Linked DNA regions of Saccharomyces cerevisiae S288C. The main gene of each other region encodes a partner of the protein of the gene in region 2 in a complex. Each region holds a gene or a part of one and is shown on either strand. Other genes may lie near its edges.

Region 1 (7,231 bases), on a different chromosome or scaffold from region 2:
ATTTATGAGAAAGAATAATCTTCCTCTGGGGTATTCATAGCTATCAACGTATGGTTACCTTGTCTTAGTCGGACACTGGACATAACTCTTACAATGGCTGTTAGCTTCTCAATTGACAATGGTATTTAATATACCAGGCGGTTAAAGAAAGGGTAGGTATTTTTTTCTACCTAGTTCAGTTTATATGGATGAGACAGGGATAGACGGGCATGTACGGAGTTTTTCGACTTGATCAGTGCAATCCACTGATTATCGTTTTATGTAGGTATTTTCTTGAGTTACAAAATTTTAGGGAAAGTATGGATACAACCAGAGAGCCGATGTGGTGTTTTTTTTGGTTTTTAGTACATGCAGTACGCTTCTTTTTCTATTTCCTGTATACTTCCTTTAAGCGTATTCGTCGTTATAGGTTCTATTTGCTTTCAACTGAACGCGCTTGCCTGAACGCCTAAAGCGGAAAGAAATACATGACTGAAAAACAGACATTCTGGTCGCAACTCAGCGAAAGGGAGGGTAGAAAAATATATTGTGTTATAATGTCAGCGTTAGCGCATTGCATATTGCACTAGCCATTGCCACGTAAAATGGCAAGACAAGATGAAACGGACTGCAAAAAATTGGATAGCAATTCGGCCTTTTTACCTTTATGCATAACATCTTATAGATCAAAAGATGAGGCTGAGAAGCTGGTAAGTTGTCTTCATCACGAAGGAAGTTACTTTTTATGTTTTAGCTATGGATTGTATACCGGAACGTCCAACGAATTGAAAGCGAAGGTTGAGTTCGCTTTAGATGGACCGTTCGTTGTTAACTACGCAACTGTACCGATGTTCATGTCAGCTTCCTTCTGTCACCTGCTAATGTTTAACGACGGTTCCATTAAGGGATTCAAATGCGAAAATAACAAATTTGAAATTATCTACGACTCTAATGTGGCTCCGAAACTGGATACTATTTCTTTATTAACTTCCAGCTGGTTAAATGCTTCCTTTGAGGGTGTTTTATACACTTGCAATAAAAACATATCATATGATAGTGATTTGCATACGTTATGTACGACAATTTACTCCTTTGACTTCAGAGAAGGAATAGTCGAAAGATTTTATGCCACCGATGGCGAAGAAATTATCTCCTTTGATTTTATTAGCAGGGAGGATTTGCTTGACGACGCCACATGCACAGGTAAATCACACGTTTATTTTCTTTGCCTACTTAAGAGTTGCTATAGTGAAAACCTGTTTTTAAAGGAATACAATCTTGCTGGAAAGCATGGAAGTAGGAAATTTGATTTAAACGAGTACCGCCAATACAATCTTTTGCCGATATGTGATAATGAATTTTGTTATATGAAGGTAGTTTGCGGCCATACCATTGTAGTGTTGACTACTAACTACACTCAAATAATAAATATAAAAGCAAGTGGGCTTACAAACGGGGCTTTTTTCAATAATAAAGGTCTCCCAAATGTAGAAAACTACCAATTTCTAAAAGATTCTTATGATGTGATATATGAAAGATCAGTCATTCTCTTGACAATTTCTGACGTGTATGCTAACAAATACACTGCCAAGATACACACTAGGTCGTTACATAGAGACCACGTCCTGAAAGAACTACAATGGACAAAAGAAAGAGTGTTCAAGCCTCCTAAACATGATCTATGCGATGTTATTTTGCAGCTCCCACGTGAAAAGTATATAGCGGTGACAAGAATAAATGGAGTAAATTTTATATCGAAAGATCATCGAGGTTCAAAATTAGAAAAGGTGAAAAGCGGTCCCGCTTATACAAACAAAGTTTACCTGGCATCACAAGTTATTGGAAACAAGGGGACAGATATTGATTCACTGCTTTTGGGTGGAAGTTTTAACTCAAGAAGAGGATTTTTAGAAAAGAAAATTTTGGTATATGACAAAACCCTGTTCAAGTTAGTGACTTCCTCCAAAGCGCTAGTAGAGAATGTAACTGATTTTTGGGTTACAGATTTAGCACTTAATGGTGGTGACGAATTTGCATATGAATCAGGTGGGTTGATTTATAAGAACGGAATATTTTTAATGGATGAGCCTTATGATTACGGTCTATTTGTTTCTAGGACGGGAAAAGTTTTGAAAGCCGGTATGGATGGTTCTACCGGAGAATTTAGGCAGGTCGATTTCTTGCAGTCGAACCACAACTCTTCCACCATGTTTTGTTATCCCGTACAGAACTCCAAGCTCAGGATTTCGATACTTGAGGCAAAATCTGGTTTTCTACGTAAAAAAGAAGAATTTTTTATCCATGGGCTCAATTCTAAAGAGAGTATTGTGAGCTGTTTCTCAGATGGTGCCGAGAAATACCTTTTTGTCATTTACTTGGACGGTGTGTTTTCGGTATGGAATGCCAATCAAAAGAAAGTGGCTACATCACATCCAGACTATTCTTTCATAGCCTATGATCAATTGATAAAAATATCTTGGCTAAGCAAAAAGCATAAACACGACTCGATTTATGTCATCGCATCATCATACACTGGCTGCGTAAGAGTCTACAAATCAGAATCAAATTTTTTGAGAGTGGATTTAGAGATTCATTCGTTATACGATCAGAAATTAGAACTGTTGGATACGATTCCTTCCTTACCTTTGGTTTTCCTTTACAACGATAAGGAAATAATTTTGTTAAATCTTCAAAACATGTCTTATGGTTGCATACAGTTAGGCTTAGTTCCAAGACGAATGAGAATTCGACCCGGTAAAGCACTGTTCTCTCTTTGTGTTTTAGATTATGATTCTCGAATAAGCATCTTTGAGTTTGGTAGCACGTTTTACCGTGAAGGTTTCACTAAGCAGATGACTTCATTAAAACCTCAATTAGAAAATCATATCTTTTACCTCCCTAGCATTCCCGTAGAGCTCTATACTGTTCCAAATAACCTCAATCAGGCCGTGGTGTGTTTGGTCGATAGCAATAGTAGGCAGTATAAGTTGATGCTATTCAATTATGCTTCAATGAAGGCAGTTTCCACATTCAGTTTCTCGGATGAAAAGTATTTACATGCCGTTGTGAAGCCACTGTGGCCAGAACAAAACTCAATCTACTTATCACAGAGACCCTTTTATGGTAATAAGTTTGTTGTATGCTTAGGAGTTGGTGAAAAACGTACAAAATTCTGGCTGTTTGAAATTAGAAACAATAACATTACCCAATTGTACGCGAATTATCTCGAAGATTGTATATTCTCGGTGTTCATATACTATGAGTGCAACTTGGTTTTATTTTCTGGTGATAGTGGCATAGCAGCATATAAAATAAACATGCTAAAAGAGGGCGCGGAAATTTTAGAGGCCTATTCCTTCCCAGCACTTTCATCGATTAACCATATAGGTCTTCCAGCTTATATGAGTGGTGATTATCTGGTTCAATTTGAGATCTTGAGAGATTTTTTGAGAACCCGCTTTCCAATTAGGACGTCCATAGTATATCCATCAGAGTACCCTGAATGTCCCTACTTGGGTTTTAAGCGGTTGGGAAGCATTACACAAGTGGCGACTAAAATAATTCCTAAGAAGCTAAGAGAACCTAAAAACGATTGTTTAGCGAGTGATAAGAACTATCTATTAGGTCGATTATCAGACCTTTCTTGTGCAACGTTGAAATATTCCAATAGATCTTATGTTGCCACCATTGGTATTGATAATACCTTGACAATATACGAAGATTCTAAATTATCAGTTGATAAGGGCGGGTTGGCTATGCCATACCTCAAAATTCGGTTACCTAATAAGATAATCTCACTGGCGGCCATCCCAGATGGATTTCAAAACCTTCAAATATGTCCAAATTTCAATAGTCAAAGGTTGGAAGGCGTCATACCTCTATTTTTACTTTGCGGTACTGAGGGCCAAATTTATATAATATCGGAATTCATTGGTGAGCTGTGGATGAGAACGTTGCATGATTACAAAAAGATCAAGCTCGAATGTAAAAGAGCTTTTCGAAGGTCTGAGAAAAGCATGCGAAATGTTACTAAACAATATTCCGTGAGTAAAGAGACTGGAATAAATGAAAGCGGCTTTGATGAGCTAGCTAGAAATTCAAAGAGAAGACATATAGATCATTCACCATACAAGACCATAGATTTTTTCGATCCTGTAAAACTAAAAAGGTGACAATAAATCTCCTACGAACGAATAGGTGCCATGAGATCTTGCACCTTTTTGTTATGCCTAAATTACTACAGCTCAATTGATAATACATGTTTGTGCATTTACAGATGCACTCGAGTAGGTTATTCAATGAAGATATGACATATATCATACCACTAACAAAACAGCACTATTAGCGTCTGCACTAGTGGAAAGCAAAAAACTTTTTTATAGTATATAGATGGTACAAAAACTATGTTGATAGATATAATCCAATCTACTTAAATTAATAAAGTTTCAATCTTGTCCTTGACAGCGTAGATTTGGGTCTTGATAGCAGAAGCATCGTTGGTGGTAATAGAAGCAGCAATAACTGGTCTAGAAACACCACAAGCTCTACCTAAAGCAACTCTAGATGGAACAAAGACATATGGAACATTCTTGTCTTCACATAGTAATGGTAAATGCAATAGGATTTCAATAGGTTCACAGTCAGCAGCCATAATGATGAATTCGGAGATACCACGGTTCAAAGTTTTGGTAGCTTCGTTGGCACCTTTCTTCAATTGTCTCAAGTTAGCAGCCTGTTGAACGACATCCAAGATTTGTTGGGTTAATGCAGCATCGGCTAATGGGAAAGCCTTTGGGTTTGGGGCAGACATTTTTAATATAGTTTTTATAGTATGAAATCTGGTTTATTCAAGTTCCTTGCAATAATCAGTATGGTCCTGGTATAGAAAGCTCGCTCGAATGATGATTTAAATTAAGATTTGAAAGTAGGACTTGAACACTAAGAGGAATAAGCACTATTAACCAGAATAATCAGTTTTAAAGTGAAAAATTTTCTAACTCATCTCATTCCAGCATTAGAAAAAAAAATTTTCTGAGAAAAAGGAAAAATGAAAAGAAAAAGAAAATAGAAATGAAAAATTTTTCTATATGCTGAATTTATTACCCGGATAAAACCGATAAGAAAAAGAAACGATACAATTGTCTACTTTAACAATAGAAGTTGATAAGGTTGGGCCTCTTTTAAGAGTACAGGTATAGTGATCTCATCGTACCCATTGTGTAGCTTAAAACGCATAATGCTCTTTGTTGCTCCTTGATATTCAAATTTTCTATTTTATACACATTAAAAATTAAGATATACATATTTAGCGTGTAATACTCTTTTAAACAATAATAATGGTACTAATAAAAAGGAAGCTTGAAATGAGGTAGTTTGGATATGAAGTAAGAATAGGGGCTATAAACAATCTCTAAGATGAAAAATTTTGATAGTTTTCATAGTTTCTCACAAAAAGATTCTTTTGTATACTCTATTCCTGCTTTAGTGATTCAGAAGCTGCCTTAACAGACAACATCTTGAGTAGCCCTGGAGTTCAACAACAAAGCAACAATCAAACCGTATAGACCCAAAACTTCAGCAAAAATCAAAATCAAAATCATACCGACGAATAATCTTGGTTGTTGAGAGGAACCTCTAACACCTGCATCACCGACAATACCAATAGCGAAACCAGCAGCTAGACCACTCAAACCGACTGATAGACCGGCACCCAATTGGATGAAACCGGTGTACAAAGCTTGCTTTTGACCCAACGAATAACAAACCAAAACGGAAACAACTAAACCGTAAATGGCAATGATACCAGCCATAATAACAGGAACAATGTTCTTGAATAATAGGTCTGGTCTCAACACACAAGTGGCACAGATACCAACACCAGACTTAGCAGTACCGTAAGCAGCACCTAATGAGGTGAAGATAATTGCAGAGGCACAACCAATGGCACCAAAGAAAGGGGCGTAGACAGGACACAATTCAGTCATTATATGTATATGTTTCTTTTGTTATTCTAATTGATTAGTCTTTTTGAGAAAAGCAATAAACACGATCTTCTCTTTCTTTTAAAAAGATTTTTATAAACAAGTTTTTAATCAGAACGAGTGTATAATTGTACAAAACTATCAAGGGTCAGTCAATCACTTAACCACTTTTTCTGTTTTTTTTTTTTTTTTTTTTTTAATGCGTTTCTTTTCCGGGTAATATCCCTTTATACGATTCAAATTTTTAGCAATGGAATAGGCCGTAGACGGCCGTAGACGGCCTATTTCATTGCTGATAAAGAATTCAGTTCCTCTATCTTTCCTAAGTTGAATATTGTGCAATAATAAATTCATTATTAAAGAAGATGTACAATTAATAATAAATAATTGCTGGGTGAATTTGTAAAAAAAGAAAACTGTAATATAGAATATATAAAATAAGTTGATAGAAATACCTAACTAAAACAATAACAATTATTAATAATAACGCAGAAGTTAAAGCTTATAGTCTATAGCTTAAATGATTGCGATCTGTGTTATTGTTGCGGGCAAAAAGAAATGAAAAATTAGCGCCGCTCGGTTTCGATCCGAGGACATCAGGGTTATGAGCCCTGCGCGCTTCCACTGCGCCACGGCGCTTAGCCAACTTGAAAGAACTGGATGTTAACTTTATTTATTAACACAATAACAAATTCTTCTATCTCTATCTCTCCATGTCGCTTATATTGAGGTCCGCCAACATATCACTTAATCTGTTACTTGTAGTGGCATGTTTATAATTACTATTTCTTAGCTCATTTCAGGTATTTTGCGGTTAATTATAAAAGTAACCGCATGTGTTCCACAGTTGTTGTCAGTTGATACTATTTTAGGTGGTTTATGCTGTTTCAACCACGACAACTTCATCCTCTCACTGGACATTTTTGAACACTAATTGAAGTTTCCAATACCACTCGTCTTTTAGGCAAAGGTATTTTTCAAATATAGTTATGAAGGCGTATATGATGGCATTTGGCTCATTTGGGCAGTACGACATTTGTTCATTTCCGGTAGAATCAATACCTACGTGTTAGTTTACCTTCCGATGGTGATTTCTCCCATGGATATTGCAGGAGTAACAGTCGGTTATGATTCACTAACTAACAGTTATATTTTGCTGGGATATTATTATATACGGCGTTAGAAGACATGAAATGATGAGAAGCAGTCATTAAATTTAGTGGAAGCCGAAATGTAAGGATTGATAACGCAGTAGGATAATGAACAATAAA
Region 2 (8,395 bases):
GTTGAAGTTGTACAAAAATAGTGACTTTAATTCGGAAAAATAAAAAAAAAAAAAAAAACATAAGGAAATTTTAATTAAATAGTCTATCTACACATTTCCTAAAAGAAAATATTATTGCATTACTTTTTTGAAGATCTATAAAGGGCACTGTCTTACTTTTTAAAATCTGACCCACTTGAAGCCAACACAGTATGCTCTCGAAATTATGTAGCAAACAGCGCTTACAAAAGTTGCCAAACCGCAAAAAATAATATAGTGTTGGTAATCGGCCGTTGTCTTGATAGAGATAATGGCACCTGTTATCGGAATGCCGACTAAAGTACCGAAACCGACAACGAAGTACATTGTAGAGTAACGTTTACCGAACTCTTCCGTTTTAGATATCTGGCCACAGCAAACAGGAAGTAAGGAGAAAACGCTTCCAGAACAAAATCCATATAGGGCACTAATAACGTACATATTTGTCAAATTGGTACCAAATGGTAACCAACCAACAAACATGACGATAAATAGAGTGAGTAGAGTTGCAATTGCGACGTTAAACCTACCGAACTTATCGCTCAAATAGCCAGGAACCCATCTCCCGGGTATGCCGCAGACATTTATAATCATAATCAAGGTGTAGGCGTCATTAGCAGAAATTCCATGGCTGGTGGCGTATGATCCATAATAAGTAAGAGCTGAATTAATGGATAACTCACTAAATACCGTTCCCAGGACACAAAAAAGATATTTCATATCCAGGAAAGCCTTCGCATCAAAACATTGCAGAATATAAACTCTGAGTATGTATCTCCAACGTGACTCACCATCTTTGGAATTTTCGATAACATGTGGTAACCTCTCTTTGACTAAAATGATTGACAGAGTTAGCAAAGCCAAATCTAAAAATCCTAAAGTTCTAATGCCCCAAACAAATCCATAAGTTGGATCAGTGTCTGACTTCATAGAGAAGAAACTACGCAACATAATTGGGAAAACGACGCCACCCACACTACCACCAATAGTGGCCATTGCCAATGCAGTACCACGTCTCTTAAAAAAATAGTGGGCGGGAACACTTACTAGGGGACTCAGTACAATACCATTACCGAACCCGCAGACAATGGCAAAGGACAGTATGAAGTGCCAATATTTAGTAGAGTTGGCGGTAGCGAACAGACCGGCTACATGAAAAACCGTGCCCACAATCATAATTGTCCTAAATCCATTTCTATCAAAGTAAGTACCACTAATGATACATGAGGCAGAGCAAACAAAAAGAAACAAAGAAAACAGCCAACCAATGGTAGAAACACTTTCACTGGATAATTGATTGTCCTGTAGATGACTTTCTATGACCCCCGTTGAGTTTAATAAACCAAAGCATGCAATTAGACCCAAGAAGCAACCAAATGTCACAACCCAAGCCTTGAATCCACCCTCCGGGAAGCTTTCAATTTCTTCATTGGAATCTTCTTCTTTGTCACTGTCGTGCGTGCTCGAGGTATTTTCACCCCAATGTGGTTGGCTTTCAATGTCAGTTCCTTTATTTACTTCCTTCTTGGTATACACCTTTGCCGACACCGACGTTGACGCGTAAGAGGCAGTAGTCTCTAATGACTCTAAATCATCAGCTTCTGGATCATAATGTATGCTATCCTCATCTAAATCAGGTTGCCGCAGTTGGTTGGTTTGTTCTTCTGGAACTATAGTGTCTTTAGGCGTTAAACTGTCTGAGCTCATTATTTTTCTTTTTAATCTATAGTAAAATCAGAGCTTTTTAATCGATAGTATGCCCCCGTGATCTTAGTTATTCAGATCTTAGTATGTTTTTACAGATATAACCTATCCTTCACTAACTTTGAAGAGAGAATTGCTATTTGAGAATTTCCAAACGTACATCAAGCAGTTTATATATCTAGTCCCCGTAACTACTGGGAGATCTAACCAAATAGCTTCTTTATTATATTCATTTCTCTGAGCAAAATAGATATTTTTGAAAAATTTTCCTCTAGTTTCTTTTCAGAGATGTCTCTCTATTATTAGCCTCATACAATACCGCCTAGGGCGATTCAGCAGAACAGTAATTATTCCGCTGTATTTCTTTTTCAGGTGCCTCAAACGTCTATAGAACAGCGCGCAGCAGGTTGAGAAAAATGTCAAAAATTCGATCCTTTCCTATCTTTTCTTTTTCGGACGCCAAAGCGCAGTATTCAACCGACGATGTTCGGGAAGCCACCCCCGAGATCATAATAACAGGTGCGTTGTGACTCTATTGTTAACACGAGGGAAAAGATGGAATAATTTTGGAGAAACACAATGTCGTTCTAGCGGGAAAAAAGGGCAAAACCAAAAAACACGGAGTCTGTCCAATATTAATTTGGTTAAAGCAGTTCGTATAACCAAACTTTATTGGCATTGTCCGTCGACTAGTCTATTTTTATTTCTCTCAACCTTTCGAGTACTTGGAAAAAGGAGTAGATCCGCTTTCAGCAATCGAAGCAATAGGCATTAGGGGTAGAGCAATCCTCAAAATCCTTGTGCCTCGACTGTGGGTTCTAGTATGATCGCTATTTTTTCTTATTCTTTCCTAGTTAAAGCAATAGTTGTTCGTTCTATAAGTTTTTCCGCGAGATCGTGGAAATACCTTAAAAAAGACGCGTGTATGGCTCCTGCATGCGAATCTTCTCTTTTGCTTTGTAATCGCATGTGAGATAATCAAGGGATTGTAGCCATTGTTTTCGAAAAATAATAAAATGACCGCACTTTATCCTCCACGGAGCGGAAGGCCATTCCCGTACGCATATTAATGTAAATGAGATAAATAACCAAATAAGTACCGCCACATCGGATTTTTAACCTTGATATGGTGCGGGGGTGGGGTAACAGTTTAGGATCTTGAAGTAATGCTAGCAACAGAGGTAGTAGCAGTAAATAAGATAAAAAAGACCTTCGAGGGTTTTTTTTTTGATTATATATTTGATATAGTACTAAGTGTCCTACCTTGAATGATGGTTTGTACTCAATAGTATTACTTCATATTATGCCTGACGTCCATCTTTTTTGGAAAGCCCCCATTTGTCATAACCGTACAATCCGGCAATTGTCAAGATAACACCAAACACCTGAAAAAAATTTAACTTTGTTTCCCAAAAGAGTGCCACGGATATAACAACAATCCTCTTCATGATGTTTGCTACCGAATAATTAATGGAAGATAGTAAACCGATCAACTGGAAAGCAAGCATTGCTTGGAAAAAATGGGCTATTCCATGAATCGCTACAAGGGCTACTGTTTCTAGCGTTAAATCGTTGATAACGCTACCGCCATGCATTAATTCGCCGGTTAAAAAAGGTAATAGGGTTAAAGAAAACCCAATGCAGGAGCAGTAGAACAATATGGTAATCTTATCCACTTGCAATGGAGAAAATCTTGTTTTGTCTAGACTCGGTTGCCCTTCCTTCGACGTGACGTCATCCGTAGAAGAAGACGGCAGTATTCCTACCTTCCTTCTGATGGTTAAAATATTCTTTGCAAAAATATTCTGTGCTACAAATATTATCATGGAAATAAAGGCAAAAAGCAACCCGATTAATGAAGATCCGCTTTTGTTATCTGAAGCCCTCTTACTGCCATGTGTTGACCAGCAAGTAGTCATAACGCCAAAAATTAAAAGTAACAAGGTATAATAAGTCATGGAATTGTAATAACGATGTTCGAAAAATTTATAGTAGCCAACTGTTATTATTGGGGATAATGCCTTCACGGAATGCACTAGTGATACTGGTATCATAGATACCGCCTTGTGCGATGTGATATGACCAATAAATTGGAATATTCCCATAGGGAAAGTGGTCATCAAAACCAGCTTTGAGGGAACTAAAAACTTGTGCAGGATAGAACTCCTGAAATTGCCATCGAGATATTCAGGAAGGATACCGTCAGGGAAACTATTGAGTGCCTTTGAAAACTTCGTATGCTTCAAACGAGGTAGTCGGAATAAATTTACGATGGAAGCAAATCCAACACATAGAACAGCACTAACAAGAAATTGCAATTCTGTGAGAGCTATGGGATGGTTGAAAGTTCTTAAAATGGCTTTAGATAGGTTACTTGAAATAGATGACGTGACGTACCATATAGAACAAATAATGGTTATTCTTAGGTCAACTTCAGGTAAGTACCCTTGTATATTACTAGGAAATAGTTGCGTGAATCTTTTTTTAAGGCTAGTAATATCATATCCAAAGACTTGATTACTGAATGTCTCCTTACTGTATTCTTTTTTTTGGTGTTGGAACCCCCCACGTGGTGGTTCTGGTATTTGATACAGTGATGGATCAAAGAGGTTTTTATGAACAGAATTACGTCGTTTGATCGCTGTACTTTGCGTTTGAATCATGTTAGGCCGGTATTGTTTCTCCTTTATAAAAACGAATGGCTCCTTATTAAACACTTTTATCGTCAATCCACTTACTCTCTAAATATCGTAAGCTTTGCATATATAAGCATATAATAAAAATAGTTGGTATATGCTGCACGTGTAGTCTAATGTTCTTTTCTTTTTTTTCTTTATTCTTTTTTCTCCTCTTTATGAATACAGATATTCAATTTTTTGAATATCTGATTGTTTTTATTTTCATTTCAATTTTTTTTTTTTTTCAATTTTTTTTATCCGATCGTTGCGCCAAGCTTCTATCGCTTAAAACAATGACACTTCGCTGTGAAATGACACAATGGCTTGAGATTCAGGCACAACGCAAAAGGTCTTTACAAATGTATATCACAGAATATTAATGTTTGAAAAGTACTTCCGAATTCAAGGCCACCACGTAGCCTTATACACCAAATACAATTATACACAGGTTTCAAACTTGAGAAAAACAAGATATTGAATATTAAAAGCTGGGGCTAGTAGAATTTGCTGATTAGGTTAATTGTCATCAAATTCAAACAAACTACCATTTTCAGGGGTATTTTTCCTTGCTTCAATTCTGGATTTCATTTTTGCTCTCTTTTTCTTGTTGCTTTTTGTACCATGAAATTTCTGTGACAGTTTTTTATATGCCTCCTTAGTAGTCAGTCGATTTCCCTTTTCGTCTCTGTAAACCAGTTTTATGTCAGGATCATAATGATCTTGTCTTTTTGAATGAGTATTTGCATTGGAAGAGTCACTAGATGTGAATTGTTCCAGTCCGTGTAGCTTATCTTTTGTATAAGTGCCAGTGCCCGTATGCTCTTTATTTCGGACATCCCTTCGAAGTGATTCACTATTATTAACATCCTTTCCTGGTTTCAAATCGACGTCTCCTGTGGTGAAAACACTCTTTTTCCGAAGATATCCTAGTGTTGATGCAAGACCAGAAAAAAAGTTCGGTGCATTTTCAGCATCTCCCTCGTAGTTTGGTTCATTATTAACTGCTTCAGTCAGTGTATTGTTTCCACTCCCTTCCTTAGTATGTCCATTGGTAACATCTCCGATATTTTTCTCTCCTTCACCATGCACTTTCACTTTATTCTCAGTAGCACTTCGTTCGGAGAGACTGGTATCCAAAGTATTTAAAAAAGTTACCTTTTCGTCGACGACAATACTGTTGGAAATTTCACGCATTTTCAAAATGCTTTCAGTGCGTCGCTTCTCTTCGTCTCTTGCCTTTTCAATTTCTCTAGCGAGGTCCTCTGGCCCTTTCAATTCATTGTTTGAGCTTGTTCTGGGATTTATTATGGTGACTGGCTGTTCTTCTTCCATCCAGGATAAACTTTCATCTTCATCTACTAACTTAACAATTTCCATCTTATCAGTAATTTTTGACTTCCTAGCTTTAGTAGATCTTGGGTCCTTGATCTTACGTTTTTTAATTTTTAAAGGTTTAAAGTCTCCACCATCTTCATCTGACATATTATTTGCGCTATCGAAATTCACTTTAACTTTTCCCGTTGGTGGTTTTGCTGATATAGTATTCGGTGCCTTCATAACACCCTGTTCTGCTCCGATGATTAGATGTGTAGTTGTAATTGAGTGTTTCTCTCCTTCTTCTTCTTCTTCAATATCTAAGCTAGATACATTTAAAATTTTTTTTTTTTGTCTTCTATCTTTATTCATTTGTCGTAATCGTAGTTTCTCTCTATCAGCGTTTTCCTCGGCAGCTTTCACATTCTCTAACACTTCGGTAGAATCAGTATCATCAAAAATACTGCTCTCTTTCAAAGTTAGAATCGTATCTTTCTTTGGGCTAAGCGCCTCGATATTATATGATACTTGAACATTATGCAGATCAATATTTTCGTCTTCCTTCGTGGCGCCTTTTCTTGGCAATGTGCTGGAACGTTTGGATTCATGTGAGGAAGGAATTGCATCCATGTTTTCTAGCCATGAACTGTCGTCATTTACATTAGTTTCTTCGAGAAGGTGCGCCATTCGTAAAGGAGCGTTCGCCTTTTTTTGAAACTTTGTTATCTTCTCTCGAAGTTCATCGATTTTGGATGTGTTATGTACATTAGGGGGAGAAGAATTGAAATTTTGTTGGGGTGGGATAAGTTTTAGGCCAAGGGACGCCCTCAACTCATTCGTCTCTTCGATTGACAAAGACTCTTTATGGTCTGTATTCTTTTCTTGAAAAACTGGAATAGGTTTCATACCCAGCTTTTCCCTTATTTCATTTGTCTCCTCAATAGAAAGGTTTTCCGTTTTGTTCATAAATTAATTAAGGGTTGATGTGATGATTGCCTTTTTATTAATATCAAATAGTAACGATTGCACCATCTCATCCTTTGCTCACTTTCAAAAATTTTGTATATCTTTTTCGTCCCGCGAATAATTTTAAGTTGCGCAGTTCACGATATGAATACCTATAACTGCTAATGGTACAAATTTTTTAAAGGTTAAACAAAACTTTTAATGATATAAAGTACCTAAAACTATGTAAACATAAATTATGTATACTATTTCAAATATATCACCTAAAAAAAATAATAAGTTCAATTCAATATGGGCGTACAGCACTAATTTACAGATTATGGAATAAAATATGAAATGAGAAATAGGTTAAGCATTGGATAATTATAGAAAATTTTCTAAATCCAAATAAAAGGGAACGCGAGGGGTCACTAATTATTAAAATGTAAAATGCATCCTTATTTCTTCTCTTTCTTCTCTTTCTTGGACTTCTTTTCCTTCTTCTCTTTCTTCTCTTTCTTCTCCTTCTTTTCCTTCTTTTCCTTCTTTTCCTTCTTGTCCTTCTTTTCCTTCTTAGCTTTTTTAGAATCCTTGGAATCTTCATCATCGTCTCTCTTTCTCTTCTTTTCTTTCTTTTCTTTCTTTTCTTCCTCTTCATCATCAGAATCGGATTCAGAATCAGAAGCAGCCTTTGCGGTATCAGCATCTGCATTGTAGGCCCTAGCTTCAGTCATTTCCACCTTCTTAGCCTCACGAACAACCTTTGGAGTAGTTCTTAAATCTCTACCTTCTAATTGGGATAATCTATTTTCTACTTTGGCTCTTGATTCTAGACCAATGTCACCTGAATCGTCTCTATCTTCAGCTAAAGCATCATAACGCAATGAGACAGCGGCCTTAGCAGCCAGAACTCTTGCAATCTTACCTTTGTTCTTACCAGTAGCTTGACCAACAAGAGAGGCATGATATAGCAAACCATACTTTGGTGTATCATGCTTGGTCTTTAAAGCTCTGAATAAAGCCTTTTCGGCACCTAATATTTGGATGGTAGAAGCTGGTGATTTGGCCAAGGAAATTAAGGAACCTGAATGAGCGATAAGTCTAGCACCAACTAATTCACCAACCAACTGAGTCAAGTTTGGAGCAATAGCCTTCATTCTTGCAGACAAGTAATTGGACAACTGTTCTCTGTAAGCGGCAAATTCGACTATTTGTTCAGCTAAAGCATTAATGTTGTCTAGATCGGTTTGAGTGATTTCAGTACCCATAGACACTTCAGCAGCGGTTTTGACACGTTCTTCAATCTCTTCTGGTAAGATTTCACTCAAATCTGTTTCAGAAGCCTTGGATCTGATACCCATTGTTAGAATAATTCTCGCATAAGCGACGGAATCAGTAACAATCTTAGCTAACTCAGGAAAGTGCCACCCGTACCATTCTTTACATCTCATGGCATATGTGTTTAATTCTTTATCTAAATCATCCAATAAAGCAATTGCTTGAATAATCATAACATCAACTTTGTCAGCAGAAAATTTTAATTTGTGACGACCGATGGAATGAGCTAAACCCAAAGACATCTTGCTTAGATCATTATCAGACATACCTGGCAGCAATTCTGGCAAATATTCTTTGATAGCTCTATAGATATCTAAGGTTACAGCATCGGAAACAACATTGAAGTTCAATCCCAACTTATTAATAGCGTTTGCCAGTTTAGTTTCACTAACAATCAA
Region 3 (7,377 bases), on a different chromosome or scaffold from region 2:
CTGTGGTGACGCTAAGAACGATCCACCAAAGGGTTGCGCTTCTTTCAACGCTACCGTCATTGTTTTGAACCATCCAGGTCAAATCTCTGCTGGTTACTCTCCAGTTTTGGATTGTCACACTGCTCACATTGCTTGTAGATTCGACGAATTGTTGGAAAAGAACGACAGAAGATCTGGTAAGAAGTTGGAAGACCATCCAAAGTTCTTGAAGTCCGGTGACGCTGCTTTGGTCAAGTTCGTTCCATCTAAGCCAATGTGTGTTGAAGCTTTCAGTGAATACCCACCATTAGGTAGATTCGCTGTCAGAGACATGAGACAAACTGTCGCTGTCGGTGTTATCAAGTCTGTTGACAAGACTGAAAAGGCCGCTAAGGTTACCAAGGCTGCTCAAAAGGCTGCTAAGAAATAAGGAGATTGATAAGACTTTTCTAGTTGCATATCTTTTATATTTAAATCTTATCTATTAGTTAATTTTTTGTAATTTATCCTTATATATAGTCTGGTTATTCTAAAATATCATTTCAGTATCTAAAAATTCCCCTCTTTTTTCAGTTATATCTTAACAGGCGACAGTCCAAATGTTGATTTATCCCAGTCCGATTCATCAGGGTTGTGAAGCATTTTGTCAATGGTCGAAATCACATCAGTAATAGTGCCTCTTACTTGCCTCATAGAATTTCTTTCTCTTAACGTCACCGTTTGGTCTTTTATAGTTTCGAAATCTATGGTGATACCAAATGGTGTTCCCAATTCATCGTTACGGGCGTATTTTTTACCAATTGAAGTATTGGAATCGTCAATTTTAAAGTATATCTCTCTTTTACGTAAAGCCTGCGAGATCCTCTTAAGTATAGCGGGGAAGCCATCGTTATTCGATATTGTCGTAACAAATACTTTGATCGGCGCTATCTGTAATGGAAAAGAGAAGAAGCCTCTTGACTCACTATCCACTCGAACTTGGAAACAATGGTCGAAGATGCAGTATATGATACGACCTAAACCGAACGAGGGCTCAATGACATTAGGAATGTACTCTCGTATATGTTGCAAAGTTGTCTTCATTTTGATAGTAACCAAACTGCTATCTAGTTTTACGATCTGGCCATTTACTTGACAGGTAAATTCACCGTTCTTTTCCAGTTCTTCATGCCTCCTAATCAATTCATCCTGGGAAAATTTTGACAAAACAGATTCGATTAATTTTGCTTTCTGTTTGAACTTCGATCCGAAAAATTTCTTATTCACTTCCACAACCCACTCGGTTCTTTCTTTTGGTGTATCTAGCTTTTGCTTTACCGTCAGACTTCTTCCCGTTTTCTTGGAGTGTACAGTTAAATCAAAAGCCGCCCTGTCAGCACAACCGACACATTCAATCCAACCATACGATGTTAAAATTTCACCGTCCCAACAATCTGTGGCATAGTGTGCCATTTCATTCTTCAAATGCTGGCGAAATCTGAATTTGTCCTTGTTGATCCCAATATTCAACAAAAATTGATGAACTCTTGCCATAAAATATCCCAATGTTTCATTTTCTACCATTCCAGAATTCACTGCCTCTCCTATAGTCATTTTCACAGGCAGTTGGACTTCACCACTTTCCTGTAATCTGCGTGATAGTAGTGGAATCTCCTCATTTAACACTTCATTGAATTTTGCATGTGACTTATTCAACGGATCAACAAAGTGCTCAATTTCTGCCATTAAAAACTCTCTTACCCTTAAAAGCCCACTTCTGGGGGAAATTTCGTTTCTGAATGACTTACCAATGGAAGCTGAAGCAAACGGAATTTTCCCTTGGTTGATTTCCAATAATTTGTTGAAATTGAGAAATTGTCCTTGTGCAGTCTCTGGCCTTAGAAAGGCCTTCAATTGTCCTGAGGCTCCAATTTTAGTTTCGAACATCAAATTAAAGGAAGTTAGTGCGTCTAAAACATCGTTAGTGACTGGATCATTAATGTTATATTCCTGCATGACGAGATTCAACTCAGGACCCGAAAACCCGTCAATCGTGGTCAATATTTTCTCCATATTTTTCATATCCTGTGGATTGACATCCTTGTCCAACAGCCGTTTTTTCAACGTCTGTTCAATCAAATGGTCTGCTCTGTAGTATTCCCCAGTCTTAGGATTTCGGCACATCCAATCAGTAAATTTGTCTACATGCCCAGAAGTCTTCAACACATCGTAAGGAGTTAGCATTGGCCCATCAACCTGAAGCATGTTTTCTTCCATAATAAAATGTTCTCGCCACAGTCGAATCAAGTTATTTTGCAACTGACAACCCGGAGGCCCTAAATCAAATAAACCTGACACACCACCATATATCTCAAACGAGGGTGTGTAGAAAAACCTTCTCCTCAATGTACTTTCCAATTTATCTCTTTCCGAATTGGACATTAACGGCATGTTGATGTGATATGTCTTTCAACAGTCCAACAAAATGTTCTTTAATGTATCACATTTATCGTTTTTCACTTTCATTGTCTAAAAGAAAAAAAGGGTTGCAACTACTATCGCAGGTTCATAAATTAGACCTCATACGAACAGTTCATCAGAACTGATCAATATGCTTCGACCTTTTATATTCTGTCAAGGTTATTCATTACTTACTCACTGAATTGTTAAGACATCGTGCGCCTAGCCTACATAGTTATTATGAATTATGAAACACGCTTATGATTATAATCGTATGGAGAGACCACCAGCCCTTTGTTCTTCCTGGCACCTCTGAATATAGTTTCTAATATGTCAATCATTTCTTGTTTGTCGTCTACAATAAAGTTCAACTTGTTGTTGTTCCCTGTACCAAAATCACACATCATGTGCTTATTGTGGTAGAAAAACATTACTGTCATGGGATCCGTCAGCTCGTACATCTCATCAAAATCTGAAACTTCATCTATATCACATAAATAAATAACTGCAAAGTTCCTTACTCTTTCAGCAATCGAAGATAACAACTCGTCCATGATCATACATTGTCTATCATTTTTGCGACCAAAACGAATGACAACAAGTCGTTTAGTCTCGGTAACAATAGCCTGATCCACATGCCATCCCGTACGCAATTGAGGCAACAAAACACTAGCCATCAAAACTTGACTTCTTACTCTTTCTCTACGTACTATTTCTATCCGATGATCGAATTTGGTATGTAAGTTCTGTTTTTCCACTTTGCGAAGCGGTCATTGGCCCAAAAGAAATACAACGAGTCATCTCCTCGCAGTAAACTGTACAACAGCAAAGAAACAGTTAAAAACCCTCCAGAGAGAACACTTACTACTATAGCATGGATGAAAACGGTACAGTAAAGCCTGGCTATGAATTAAAGGGACTCAATTCGGGAAATTCGAGGTCAAATATGGATAAGGATCCCATCGTTAGCAAATTTCATAGGGCTGGTCTCAATGATTCTGCAGACGAGGAAGATACTGATATCAATGGTAATCGCAACACTAGCTGGATAACTTCAATGATTAGTGAAGAAAAACGCAAGGTGGAGGGAAAATCTATGCTGAATGATGAGGAAGATTTGCATTTATCCAAAGCTACTTTGAACAAATGCGATGCTCTAGTTAAGATATTAGCGGATATTATCAAGCTAGAGTTTGTTATTCACCAATCATGGTATATCAGATCCCTTCACAAGAGTGTCTTAATTCAATTTGAAGTAGAAACGTCTGGTGGAAATAAGAATAGCGCCGGTGATAGCGGCGACGATGATGATGATAATCATAATGGTAATCTGGACGATAGCTTTTATAAAGATTTAAGCTTAAAATGCATCAAAAAATGCGAGAAGTCTTCCCTTGCACTTGAGTCGCTGTCAAGGGACATTGACCAAATTAGAGATTTCATAATGTCCAATACAATAGAAGACAACAGGGTTGACAGGCTTTTGCAGAATTCGATGACCCTGTTATTAGAGTGTTGGATCTACTCTATGAAGAGATTGCGCCGTCTAAGGATGAAGATTGCAGGTATCTTTGTTAGGTCCAAACTTTTGCTTATTGATCATGAATTAGTGACCATATGGCATTTTTTACAGGAGCAAAACGAGCACGAAACGGTTAATAATGAGAACGAACTGAAATTGGCAGAAACAATAAAATCATACAGAGCGTTCATTAAGATATTTATTCAACAATTGGAGGACTCCGAATCGGGATCTCCATCCTCCTCTTTGTTTGAAGAATGTTTACACGTTTTTTTGGATATAGAATCGATGTACAACTCTTTAAACCTGAATTGGCTTTTGAACGAAAACAAAGCATTACAAGAAAGACTACTATCACCATCGTCGACATCGGAGAACGATCATACTAATAACCTTCCCGTTATTGATGAGACAAAGGAAATCGAAGATATCAGCTCATTTGTCAATAGCATTGTGGATGCATCCATGTTGACACATGATTTGACTCCTATTAACTCATCAGATAGCGACAATTTATCAAACGGAGAAATCGATCGTCTAGATGGAAGAAGGTTATCCTCTTCCACGTCAGATATGTCATTGATGATGCAAAGGACTTCTCTGCAGAAACAACTTCCTAGCTTATTAACTGCCTTCAACAACGCAAGAAGACTAGAACAAGAATTGCAAAACGCATGCAAAGTAAACGATAACAAACATAGCACGAAAGATACTGATTCAAATATACGACGGAATGAACATGCTATGTCTTCAAGTGTATCCTCCATCATCTCCCAAAACTCCACATTAGCATCACCGTCTCCTCCGATGTCATCGTCCTTTATATCCACGGCGCCATCACAATCAAGTTCTCGTATGAGTACATTACCACTGTCTCCTTCCTCTTCATTATTGGAATCACAATCGCAAACGCTGAAGAACAATATGTCGCAATGGTTGAACCAATCGCGATCTGGCCTCAACGGCACAAAACTTATTCCAACAAACCACATTGGGTTTCACAGCAATGTTCTGAATACTTTGTATGGTATCGGTGGTGGTCCGGTATCGAAATCTTATAAATCCAATCAACCTTCTTCACAAAATACTTGATAAGAATAAGGATATCATTGCTATGTAAACAAACTAAATGCGAGGGTTGAGTACATAAATACAAAGCAAGACTTTTATCATACATAACACATATAACAACCAATGCATGCATCCTCTCGACAATAGTTTTGTGCGTATGTCTTTGCGAAGTCCAAATACTACTCACATCCATCTTTTATTTTTTAATCCCATCGCAGCGAGTTTAAGCCTGAAAAATAGTGAACCAGTTGAAAAACACTAATAACATCGATGCAAAACTAACTATCAATAAACTGTTGTGTTTTTAGAACTCTGTACGTTGTTTCCTATCCCAAGAGTTCAATAAGACGCAGCCAAGCTTTTATTCTCTTGACTCGTCCATCATAGAGCTTTATAGAAATGTCAGAGAAGGCTTCTGAAGAGAGACCCATACGGCTGGCCGTTCTGGGGGGCACTTCTACCGGAAAGACCTCCCTGGTATCTAGGCTTACTGTTAATATCGTCCACGAGGTTCATTATCCAACAAGAAACCAAACTAACTGGCTTTTCGGCTTTGTTCCGTCATCGATCCTGGCCAGAGCTATATTAGACGAACAAGCTCACGAAAGACTTTGCCTTCGTTCCCCAAGCAGCCAAACCTTAGAGCCTATCTTCCCTTCACCTCAGGTCTCCAAAAATGTACTGCTGTCGCCATTGGTGTTTCAAGCTTCCACTGATAATTTTCAATCAGTGAGGTTACACAACAAAAGCCACTCCAGGAGATCCCTATCTTTGGATAAATCTGATTCTCCGCTGTATCAAACTTTTTCCAATGACATTAACTCTCAAAGTGTTCCTAAAATCAAGGCAGACCAGCTTAACGTTATCGAGCATTTTAAATTGCCCCTGAATTACATTCCACCCACTTATGCACCAATCCAGATTGATATTATTGATACGCCTGGCTTCAGTCCTGATAATGTGGTGCCGTTCTTAGAAGTTTCTCTCTTCCGAAATTTAGGAAAATCAATCCTACATGGACTAGCAGATGAACCAAGACGACCTGTATCTACTACTTCACTATTGGTTGCCTCTGGTGCCTCTGAGTTGAATGGTAAAGTTGACGGTTATATCTTGGTGTATAGCGCAGTCCCTGAATTAAACCATATTGGAGGCCCTCCGGAATATGGAGATGATGTGATGAACACAGATACGGAAAACGTCAGCGATGGTGGATTTGAACTTTTAAAAGTGATTAGAAACTGCATACTAGATGCTTGGACTGAATTTCGAAATTATGAAAAAAGATGGGAGGAAGGCAAAGAGGATGATATTTACTCATTGGTTTACAGCCTGAGACATCTATGGAGTAAAAATAGCAAAGAGAAAAGCGCCAAAATAGAGCAATTGAGATCCTATAATACCAAACTAAAATCCATCGAGTTAGACCCCTCATCTCCCGATTCACCACCACCATGCATTATCGTCTGTTCTCACGTTAATCATGAACTCGCAAGCCCAATGTTGATTGAAATGGGAAGACAACTAGCAACAAAATGGAAATATGGATTTGTTGGAATAGACAGCATGGATGATTTAAATGTCGATGTGGCGGTTAGCTTACTAATAAAGGAAATATCAGAAAAGATGAAGCTACTGGTTTCTAATTCCAATGGAAGTAGTAGTAGTGGTAATTCAAGTTCAATTTACAACTCTCATTTAATGAATGACAAGAAGAAAAACAACAATGCCGGCTTAAACAAAAATATGTTGAAGAAAATTATAAAATAATTGATAGAGGGAAGAACTCCCTTTAACATTCTTATGACCATGATACATCGCACTTTTTTTTACTTGGATTGAGGAAATATGTATATATAGGCACGTATGTATATATACAAATGTTCTTTCTGAAACCATGTAAACAGAAAAGGAAAAAAAATAATTATATTTTATTGAGCTTTATGGTACCATCTTCATATCCAATTAAACACCAGTTACATTTCGCCAGCGCTTTAATACGTCTAAGTTGTCCTAACCTCAACCCATCTGACTGCACATCAAACGATTCCAAACATGTCATGGCTCCCACTTTATAGTTATGGGATTTCGAGCTGGATTCGGTATTTGAGCCGCTACCGTTTGTTAGGTCTCCCATAGAGCTATCACTCACGACCAGGTTGTTCTTTGATTTCACAAAAGTTTGCTCCACTTCTGAAGTCCGCATATTATAAACAATGGTCATACCTGACCAACTACTCACGACTAAGTAATCGTCTTTTACTTTATCAATATGACCAATATTCTTCAAGGGAAGATGTACTTTTGATGGCTCACTGACTCTCAGTGAGCTTGGGCATTTTATCAAAAGCGCATCATCTCTAAGG
Region 4 (7,200 bases), on a different chromosome or scaffold from region 2:
ACACATTAACTCGAAAACTAAACATTCCATTATATGTTGCTGGTTCTAATGGATTGTTCGCTTATGTTTTTATTGATTTGATTGAATTCATTTCAGAGGATGAAAAATTGCAAAGTGTAAGACCTACCACCGTTGGTCCCATTTCAAGCAATAGGAGCATTATAGAAGTTACTACTAGAAAAGATGAAGAAGATGAAAAAAAAACATATGAACGAATCAAGACCAAGAACTGCTATAGGCCACTGAACGAAGTTTTAAGCACAGCAACATTAAAGGAAAAAATGACGCAAAGACAGTTAAAAAGAGTCACTAGTATCTTGCCGTTAACCCTGTCCTTATTGCAATATGGTCTCAACCAAAAGGGCAAGGCCATAAGCTTTGAACAAATGAAAAGAGATGCGGCCGTATGGTGTGAAAATCTGGGTGTACCAGCAACAGTGGTAAAGGACGATTACATACAACAGTTTATCAAACAGAAAGGTATCGAGTTTGCTCCTGTCGCGGCCATTATAGGGGGTGCTGTAGCGCAGGATGTCATTAACATTCTAGGTAAAAGGCTATCTCCATTAAATAATTTCATTGTTTTTGATGGTATTACATTAGACATGCCACTTTTTGAGTTTTAGATATATACATACCTACTATACTGTAGTTTCAGCCAAAAAAAATAATAAAAAAAGCATAATTGGAGGCAGTAAAGCATTATAGTCATACACAATAATAATAATAATAATAATAATAATAATAATAATAATAGTAGTAGTAGTAATGGTAATAAAAAAGTTAGAAAAGAAATTAGATACAGATATTCGTAGTAAAGGCCACGCAGTACAAAAAAGACGGAGAATATATTATATAAAATCCTCTACTCTTTTCGTTCAGGTCCAAAGGAAAATTCTTGCACGCGCAATGGACTGAACAGGCCTTATATTATACAAAAAGCCTAATAACGATCAAATAAAACAAAAGAAAGCCGTTGCTCCTATGCCTGACCAGAGACGGCTACTTGTTGTAAGTGAGTCATGAAATTTTGTAAGGAAACATCATCTGTTAAGACAATTGTAGATCCTCCGCGCGCCATGTCTTGATAGTTATCGGAAGGATTCAATTTAGATAACAAGAATCTGGCTTGAGAACCACCGGCTTCAGTATCAATGAATCTTGGTAGCGGGAACCTATCTACTAACAATTCTGCGGCTTCTAATTTTGGCTCTTCAAGAAGAGCTTTGAAATCTGCGTACTGTGGATCGTCTTGGTAACCGGCTTTTCTCCATTGAGCGATTTGCTCACCGTGGTATATTAAGATGAAGAAAAATGTATCTAATAATAGAATGGTATTGGGTTTGACGGAGATAGAGTCTAATAATACCGGTTGTGGATCGTCCTCCATTGAGAAAGAAGTTAGAGTTGGTTGAATCATGATTAAAGAATTAGTCGTATCCTCTCTTGTGAAAATATGTCTATAAAATGCAGTTTCATCCGGAGAATTGTTAAAGACACTTAAGAATTGGGATCTTCTTAAATAATAGGTAAATTGAGGATACAGTGAGAAATTTGGAGCCAACCTGAAAGATTGAGGATCATCTTTATTATAGTCGGCGTACTTTTGACATAGCTTAATCAAAGTTCTGTCTAACCATCTAATAACATCTGCACCATCATCGGTTTCAGCCTTGTGAACAGCAATACGAGCCATCAAAACGGCAGCAGCTTCTTGATCGAAAGAAGCTGCAATGGCAGGAGTACCGAAGGGCAAAAGCTGGTTTGCGACCGTGGTGACTCTGATACGGTTGGTACCAGAGGAGTGTTGATAAGTAGTGATGAATTGAGTATATGCTAGATGAGGTCTATCTGCTGAACCAGGGGCAGACATCATTGGGTTAGAATTAGCCGCAGTGTTTGCAATTTCAAAGAAAATCGCATACGAGTGATAAGGCGATAAGGAAGCCATCTTCCAGGTGGACGTTGCACCTATACCGATTTCAGATTCACTGATGTTGTTAGCGTCTGTCTTCTTTACAGCAGAAGCATGCCCAATCAAACCTTGTACCTTCAAGTCTTTACTTGTCTTGACTGCCATATTACCATTGAAAGCCATCTTCAAATACCCTTCTTCATCCTTGGCAAACAATCTCAAGTATGATTGCTTAAAAATCGCGGTAGAGAAGGCATCGGTTAGCAACAACACACCTCCAGTAGAGTCGGTCAACTGTTTCATTTCAGACATACCGATTTGATCGTAACAACCGGCAAAAATATCAACAGTGTGTCCATTGGCGGCAACTCTTTGTGCAATCTGGTTGTAAAACTTACAGGCCTTCTTGTAATGTTGCGCGTGATCAGAATCGATGTCGTGGTGGGATCTTAAGGGATCTTTTAACTCTGAGTTAACAATCAAACCTGGGGCCACGGTGCCTGGACCGGAGGCGAAAAGAATGATTCTTGCTGGGATGTTCTTATAGCAGCCCTGTAAAAGCAAAGATGCAATGTTCAAAGCGGAACCTGTGGCCCTTAATGGCCTATGACCCGCTGGAACAGACCATTGGTCTGGAGACAGATTTTCCAGTAATTGATTCAGTTTGAACTCGACCTGTTCCAAGGGCAGGAAGAACCTATTCAAAGAGAAGGGCGTAACTTTGTTCATGGCGTTCGGTAGATGAGATGCAGCACCGCCGGGGCCGGTAGGCTTTTGGCCGGTCAACATTTCCGTCAACGCTTCGAGCTGGTACTCCCTGTCTCCTCTGAACACGTTGCACCTGTCAATAGTTTCGCTGGACAGATCGTGCAATTGAACAACGTTTCCGTAAGTGATCAACCCAATCAGCGCGTTGGGAGGTAATAGAGACAAAGAAGTGATGATAGACTCCTTTAGCGAATCGAGGTTCTCGGTTTCCGAAGTCAAATCCACAACAAAGAAGAAAATGGGAGGAACGGTAACGGGCTTATTGGTGATGTACTCAATGGTGGTGGACTGTAACTCTAGCGGCATATTCTCCTGTGACAAGTTGGTGTACTGTGGAGGTAAATGGTTCCTGGAGTTACAGATGGGACAACTCCAGGACGAATTGCGCGGATCAATCACACAGTAAGGATTTAGAATCGACTTACAGTGTGGACCGGAACACACAACTGGATTGTATGGGGCAACGTTCAATTCGTCATACTCCTTCAAAGGTGTGTACAAACAGCCCACAGGGACGACGTTGCTGTTAGCGTCGCTTCTAGTAGAGGGAAACACGTTCCAGGTGAAACGGACCCCGTTGATGTCTTCATTAGTCTCGAAGTCCATGGCTAGAAAAGAGGAAGGGGAGGCAGGCGACAGACAGATAAACACTGGCTTCAGTTAATTGTGTGTCTTGCTGAACGTGGAAAGATCACAACAAGTATCTTTTTTTCTTTTTTCAAACGTGTTTTTCTTTTATTCTTGCTAGAACTTTCCTCCTTTGTAACAAACGAGAGGCGGCGGGCTAGTCGTCGCAAGCGACAAATCTCAACTGACAGTAAATAACGGTGATAAAACAAAATTAGCGCAATCTCTCAAACTACTGAGGACAACCAACTTGAATTGCACTCTTCCAAGTTGTAGCATGGCTTGGGGGGTGTGTGATCCCATCCTGTATTATGGCAAAGCAGGCAAAACAACCGCTCTGCCGTCCGGGTAACTTTTCTTGTTCCACCTCTTTTCCCCAACATATATGAACATGAGATGGTAAGAGCAAGAAACAACGGTTCTATGAGCAACGCAAAAACAGCACAGCACACACAGCACCGCGTACTATACCACACCACACACTACGTCACAACACAACAAGACAATGAGCGAGAGCAGTGATATCAGCGCGATGCAGCCGGTGAACCCGAAGCCGTTCCTCAAAGGCCTGGTCAACCATCGTGTAGGCGTCAAGCTTAAGTTCAACAGCACCGAATATAGAGGTACGCTCGTGTCCACGGACAACTACTTTAACCTGCAGCTGAACGAAGCAGAAGAGTTTGTTGCGGGTGTCTCGCACGGCACCCTGGGCGAGATATTCATCCGCTGCAATAACGTGCTGTACATCAGGGAGCTGCCGAACTAAGACGACTGTGCTCATCTCCCTTACATACCAGTATATTTACATACGCCCTCTACTGTAATACAATATCATTCTATAGCACTCGCATCGCGTATTTTTTTTTTATTTTCTTGCTTTATATTGTTCTATTTTTCTTCCTTATTCCTGCCTCTGGATTTCCCTCGCATGACAAATAGCGTGGAAAAATAAAGGATTTCCAGTATTTGAAAAATTTTCAGTATTCTTACGTGTTCCTAACTCATATAGACCGCTATTGTAATAACGCTATCGCTTCAATTACACACAAACATACACGCACCCACAATGAGCATCGAATACTCTGTTATCGTTCCCGCTTACCATGAAAAGCTGAACATCAAACCCTTAACAACCAGATTGTTTGCCGGCATGAGCCCTGAAATGGCCAAGAAGACCGAGTTGATCTTTGTCGATGACAACTCACAGGATGGCTCCGTTGAGGAGGTGGACGCCCTAGCTCACCAAGGCTACAACGTCCGCATCATCGTCAGGACAAATGAACGTGGTCTATCCTCCGCCGTGCTTAAGGGTTTCTACGAGGCCAAGGGTCAGTACCTGGTATGCATGGACGCAGACCTACAACACCCTCCAGAGACCGTGCCCAAGTTGTTCGAGTCTTTGCACGATCACGCCTTTACTCTGGGCACCAGATATGCCCCAGGTGTCGGCATTGACAAGGACTGGCCTATGTACAGACGCGTCATTTCCTCCACTGCTAGAATGATGGCCAGACCTTTGACCATCGCCTCCGACCCCATGAGCGGGTTCTTCGGTCTACAAAAGAAGTACCTCGAAAACTGCAACCCTAGGGACATCAACTCGCAAGGTTTCAAGATTGCCCTCGAGCTTCTCGCCAAGCTTCCTCTTCCAAGAGACCCTAGAGTGGCGATCGGCGAAGTGCCATTCACTTTCGGCGTGAGAACGGAAGGTGAATCCAAACTGTCAGGTAAAGTCATTATCCAATACTTGCAACAACTTAAGGAGCTCTACGTCTTCAAGTTTGGCGCCAATAACCTTATCCTTTTCATTACTTTCTGGTCCATTCTGTTCTTCTACGTTTGCTACCAGCTATACCATTTGGTCTTTTAAAGGAAGTGAATGGTAACGAAAAAAAAAAATCTTTCTTTATATGTCTCTTTAAGTACTCCCTTTCAGTTATATGCCTTTTATTGTCTGTCCCTATTCTAATCCTCTACTCGGGCCATCATTGTTAACGTAATATTTGCCCTAGGGTAAAAACATTAGGTTGATTAGGCCATAACTCATTCTGCCCCACCCCCACACATAGGGTTCAGGAACTTGGTTTTCAACCCTACTGCATTGTTTCCCACGCGGCGCTACCAAAATATATCCAATTTTCTTTTTTGTCACAACAGCAGCAACCCCTTGAAATGGCCAATTCTTCTCGAGACTTTGCTCCCTTAATCTTTTCTTCCCCCCCGGTTTCTTGATGATTATATATACTAACCTCGTATATTACACACTGTACTTGAAGTCACTCATATCCGAATACTACTTCTCTTAACTTCCAGTCAACCCGACACCCACAATCGTCCTTAGTATATAACTGCTTTATGAATAGATCATTACTGCTACGTTTGTCGGATACCGGTGAACCCATTACAAGCTGCTCTTACGGAAAAGGTGTCTTGACGCTACCACCAATTCCGCTCCCTAAGGACGCCCCAAAGGACCAACCGCTCTATACGGTCAAGCTACTGGTATCTGCAGGTTCCCCTGTCGCTAGGGATGGGCTAGTTTGGACTAATTGCCCACCAGATCACAACACGCCCTTCAAGAGGGACAAATTTTACAAAAAAATCATTCATTCCAGCTTTCACGAGGATGACTGCATTGACCTGAATGTCTACGCTCCAGGCTCGTACTGCTTTTATCTATCTTTCAGGAACGATAACGAAAAACTTGAGACAACAAGGAAATACTACTTTGTTGCCTTGCCCATGCTTTATATAAACGATCAGTTCCTACCTTTGAATTCCATCGCTTTACAAAGTGTTGTATCGAAATGGCTGGGCTCTGACTGGGAGCCCATCCTATCGAAAATTGCCGCTAAAAACTACAATATGGTACATTTCACCCCTCTACAGGAAAGAGGCGAGTCTAACTCGCCTTACTCTATATACGACCAATTGCAGTTCGACCAGGAACACTTTAAGTCTCCTGAAGACGTGAAAAATTTAGTTGAGCATATACATCGCGATTTAAACATGCTTTCATTAACAGATATTGTTTTTAACCACACAGCTAATAATTCTCCTTGGTTAGTTGAGCACCCGGAGGCTGGGTATAACCACATCACTGCGCCACATCTAATCAGCGCCATAGAGCTCGACCAAGAATTGCTCAATTTTAGTAGGAATTTGAAATCCTGGGGCTATCCTACCGAACTGAAAAATATAGAAGATCTCTTCAAGATCATGGACGGTATTAAAGTGCATGTTTTAGGGTCGTTGAAACTGTGGGAATATTATGCGGTAAACGTGCAAACAGCTCTTCGGGATATCAAAGCCCATTGGAATGACGAATCTAACGAAAGTTACAGTTTTCCCGAGAATATTAAAGACATCTCGTCCGATTTCGTAAAACTAGCTTCCTTTGTGAAGGACAACGTCACTGAGCCTAACTTCGGCACTCTTGGTGAAAGAAACTCAAACAGGATTAACGTGCCAAAATTTATTCAACTACTGAAGCTCATTAACGATGGTGGTAGTGATGACAGTGAATCTTCGTTGGCCACGGCTCAAAACATCTTGAACGAGGTCAACTTACCCTTATATAGAGAATACGACGATGATGTCAGTGAGATACTCGAGCAACTGTTCAATCGTATCAAATATTTGAGATTAGATGACGGTGGGCCCAAGCAAGGTCCAGTGACCGTTGACGTGCCCTTAACAGAGCCTTATTTTACGAGGTTCAAAGGAAAAGATGGTACTGATTATGCCCTCGCCAACAATGGCTGGATATGGAATGGTAACCCACTAGTGGATTTTGCATCGCAGAATTCAAGAGCTTATTTACGTAGAGAAGTTATCGTGTGGGGGGACTGTGTCAAGTTAAGATACGGTAAAAGCCCTGAAGACTCTCC

The links.
Region 1: SNU66 (region 2) and SNU13 share a complex: the UniProt entries of both Saccharomyces cerevisiae proteins name them as parts of the U4/U6-U5 tri-snRNP complex.
Region 3: SNU66 (region 2) and DIB1 share a complex: the UniProt entries of both Saccharomyces cerevisiae proteins name them as parts of the U4/U6-U5 tri-snRNP complex.
Region 4: SNU66 (region 2) and SMX3 share a complex: the UniProt entries of both Saccharomyces cerevisiae proteins name them as parts of the U4/U6-U5 tri-snRNP complex.

What each region holds. Positions count from the first base shown.
Region 1 is NC_001137.3:99,501-106,731, reverse strand, and holds SNU13 (RNA binding protein SNU13), read right to left. Parts: upstream 4,790-7,231; coding exon 4,409-4,789; downstream 1-4,408. Other genes in the region: YEL025C (uncharacterized protein), read left to right, coding at 585-4,151; VMA3 (H(+)-transporting V0 sector ATPase subunit c), read right to left, coding at 5,481-5,963. UniProt on the Saccharomyces cerevisiae protein: Common component of the spliceosome and rRNA processing machinery. In association with the spliceosomal U4/U6.U5 tri-snRNP particle, required for splicing of pre-mRNA.
Region 2 is NC_001147.6:889,708-898,102, forward strand, and holds SNU66 (U4/U6-U5 snRNP complex subunit SNU66), read right to left. Parts: upstream 6,681-8,395; coding exon 4,917-6,680; downstream 1-4,916. Other genes in the region: RRG7 (Rrg7p), read left to right, coding at 1-43; MCH5 (riboflavin transporter), read right to left, coding at 160-1,725; SLY41 (Sly41p), read right to left, coding at 3,024-4,385; RNA-processing protein NOP58, read right to left, coding at 7,118-8,395. UniProt on the Saccharomyces cerevisiae protein: Component of the U4/U6.U5 tri-snRNP particle, one of the building blocks of the spliceosome. Required for pre-mRNA splicing.
Region 3 is NC_001148.4:701,562-708,938, forward strand, and holds DIB1 (U4/U6-U5 snRNP complex subunit DIB1), read right to left. Parts: upstream 3,096-7,377; coding exon 2,664-3,095; downstream 1-2,663. Other genes in the region: TEF1 (translation elongation factor EF-1 alpha), read left to right, coding at 1-409; GRS2 (putative glycine--tRNA ligase), read right to left, coding at 553-2,409; MDM36 (Mdm36p), read left to right, coding at 3,293-5,032; YPR084W (uncharacterized protein), read left to right, coding at 5,411-6,781; ASA1 (Asa1p), read right to left, coding at 6,936-7,377. UniProt on the Saccharomyces cerevisiae protein: Essential role in pre-mRNA splicing. Also essential for entry into mitosis (G2/M progression) as well as for chromosome segregation during mitosis.
Region 4 is NC_001148.4:896,379-903,578, forward strand, and holds SMX3 (mRNA splicing protein SMX3), read left to right. Parts: upstream 1-3,815; coding exon 3,816-4,076; downstream 4,077-7,200. Other genes in the region: E1 ubiquitin-activating protein AOS1, read left to right, coding at 1-626; GTPase-activating protein SEC23, read right to left, coding at 983-3,289; DPM1 (dolichyl-phosphate beta-D-mannosyltransferase), read left to right, coding at 4,377-5,180; GDB1 (bifunctional 4-alpha-glucanotransferase/amylo-alpha-1,6-glucosidase), read left to right, coding at 5,666-7,200. UniProt on the Saccharomyces cerevisiae protein: Plays a role in pre-mRNA splicing as a core component of the spliceosomal U1, U2, U4 and U5 small nuclear ribonucleoproteins (snRNPs), the building blocks of the spliceosome.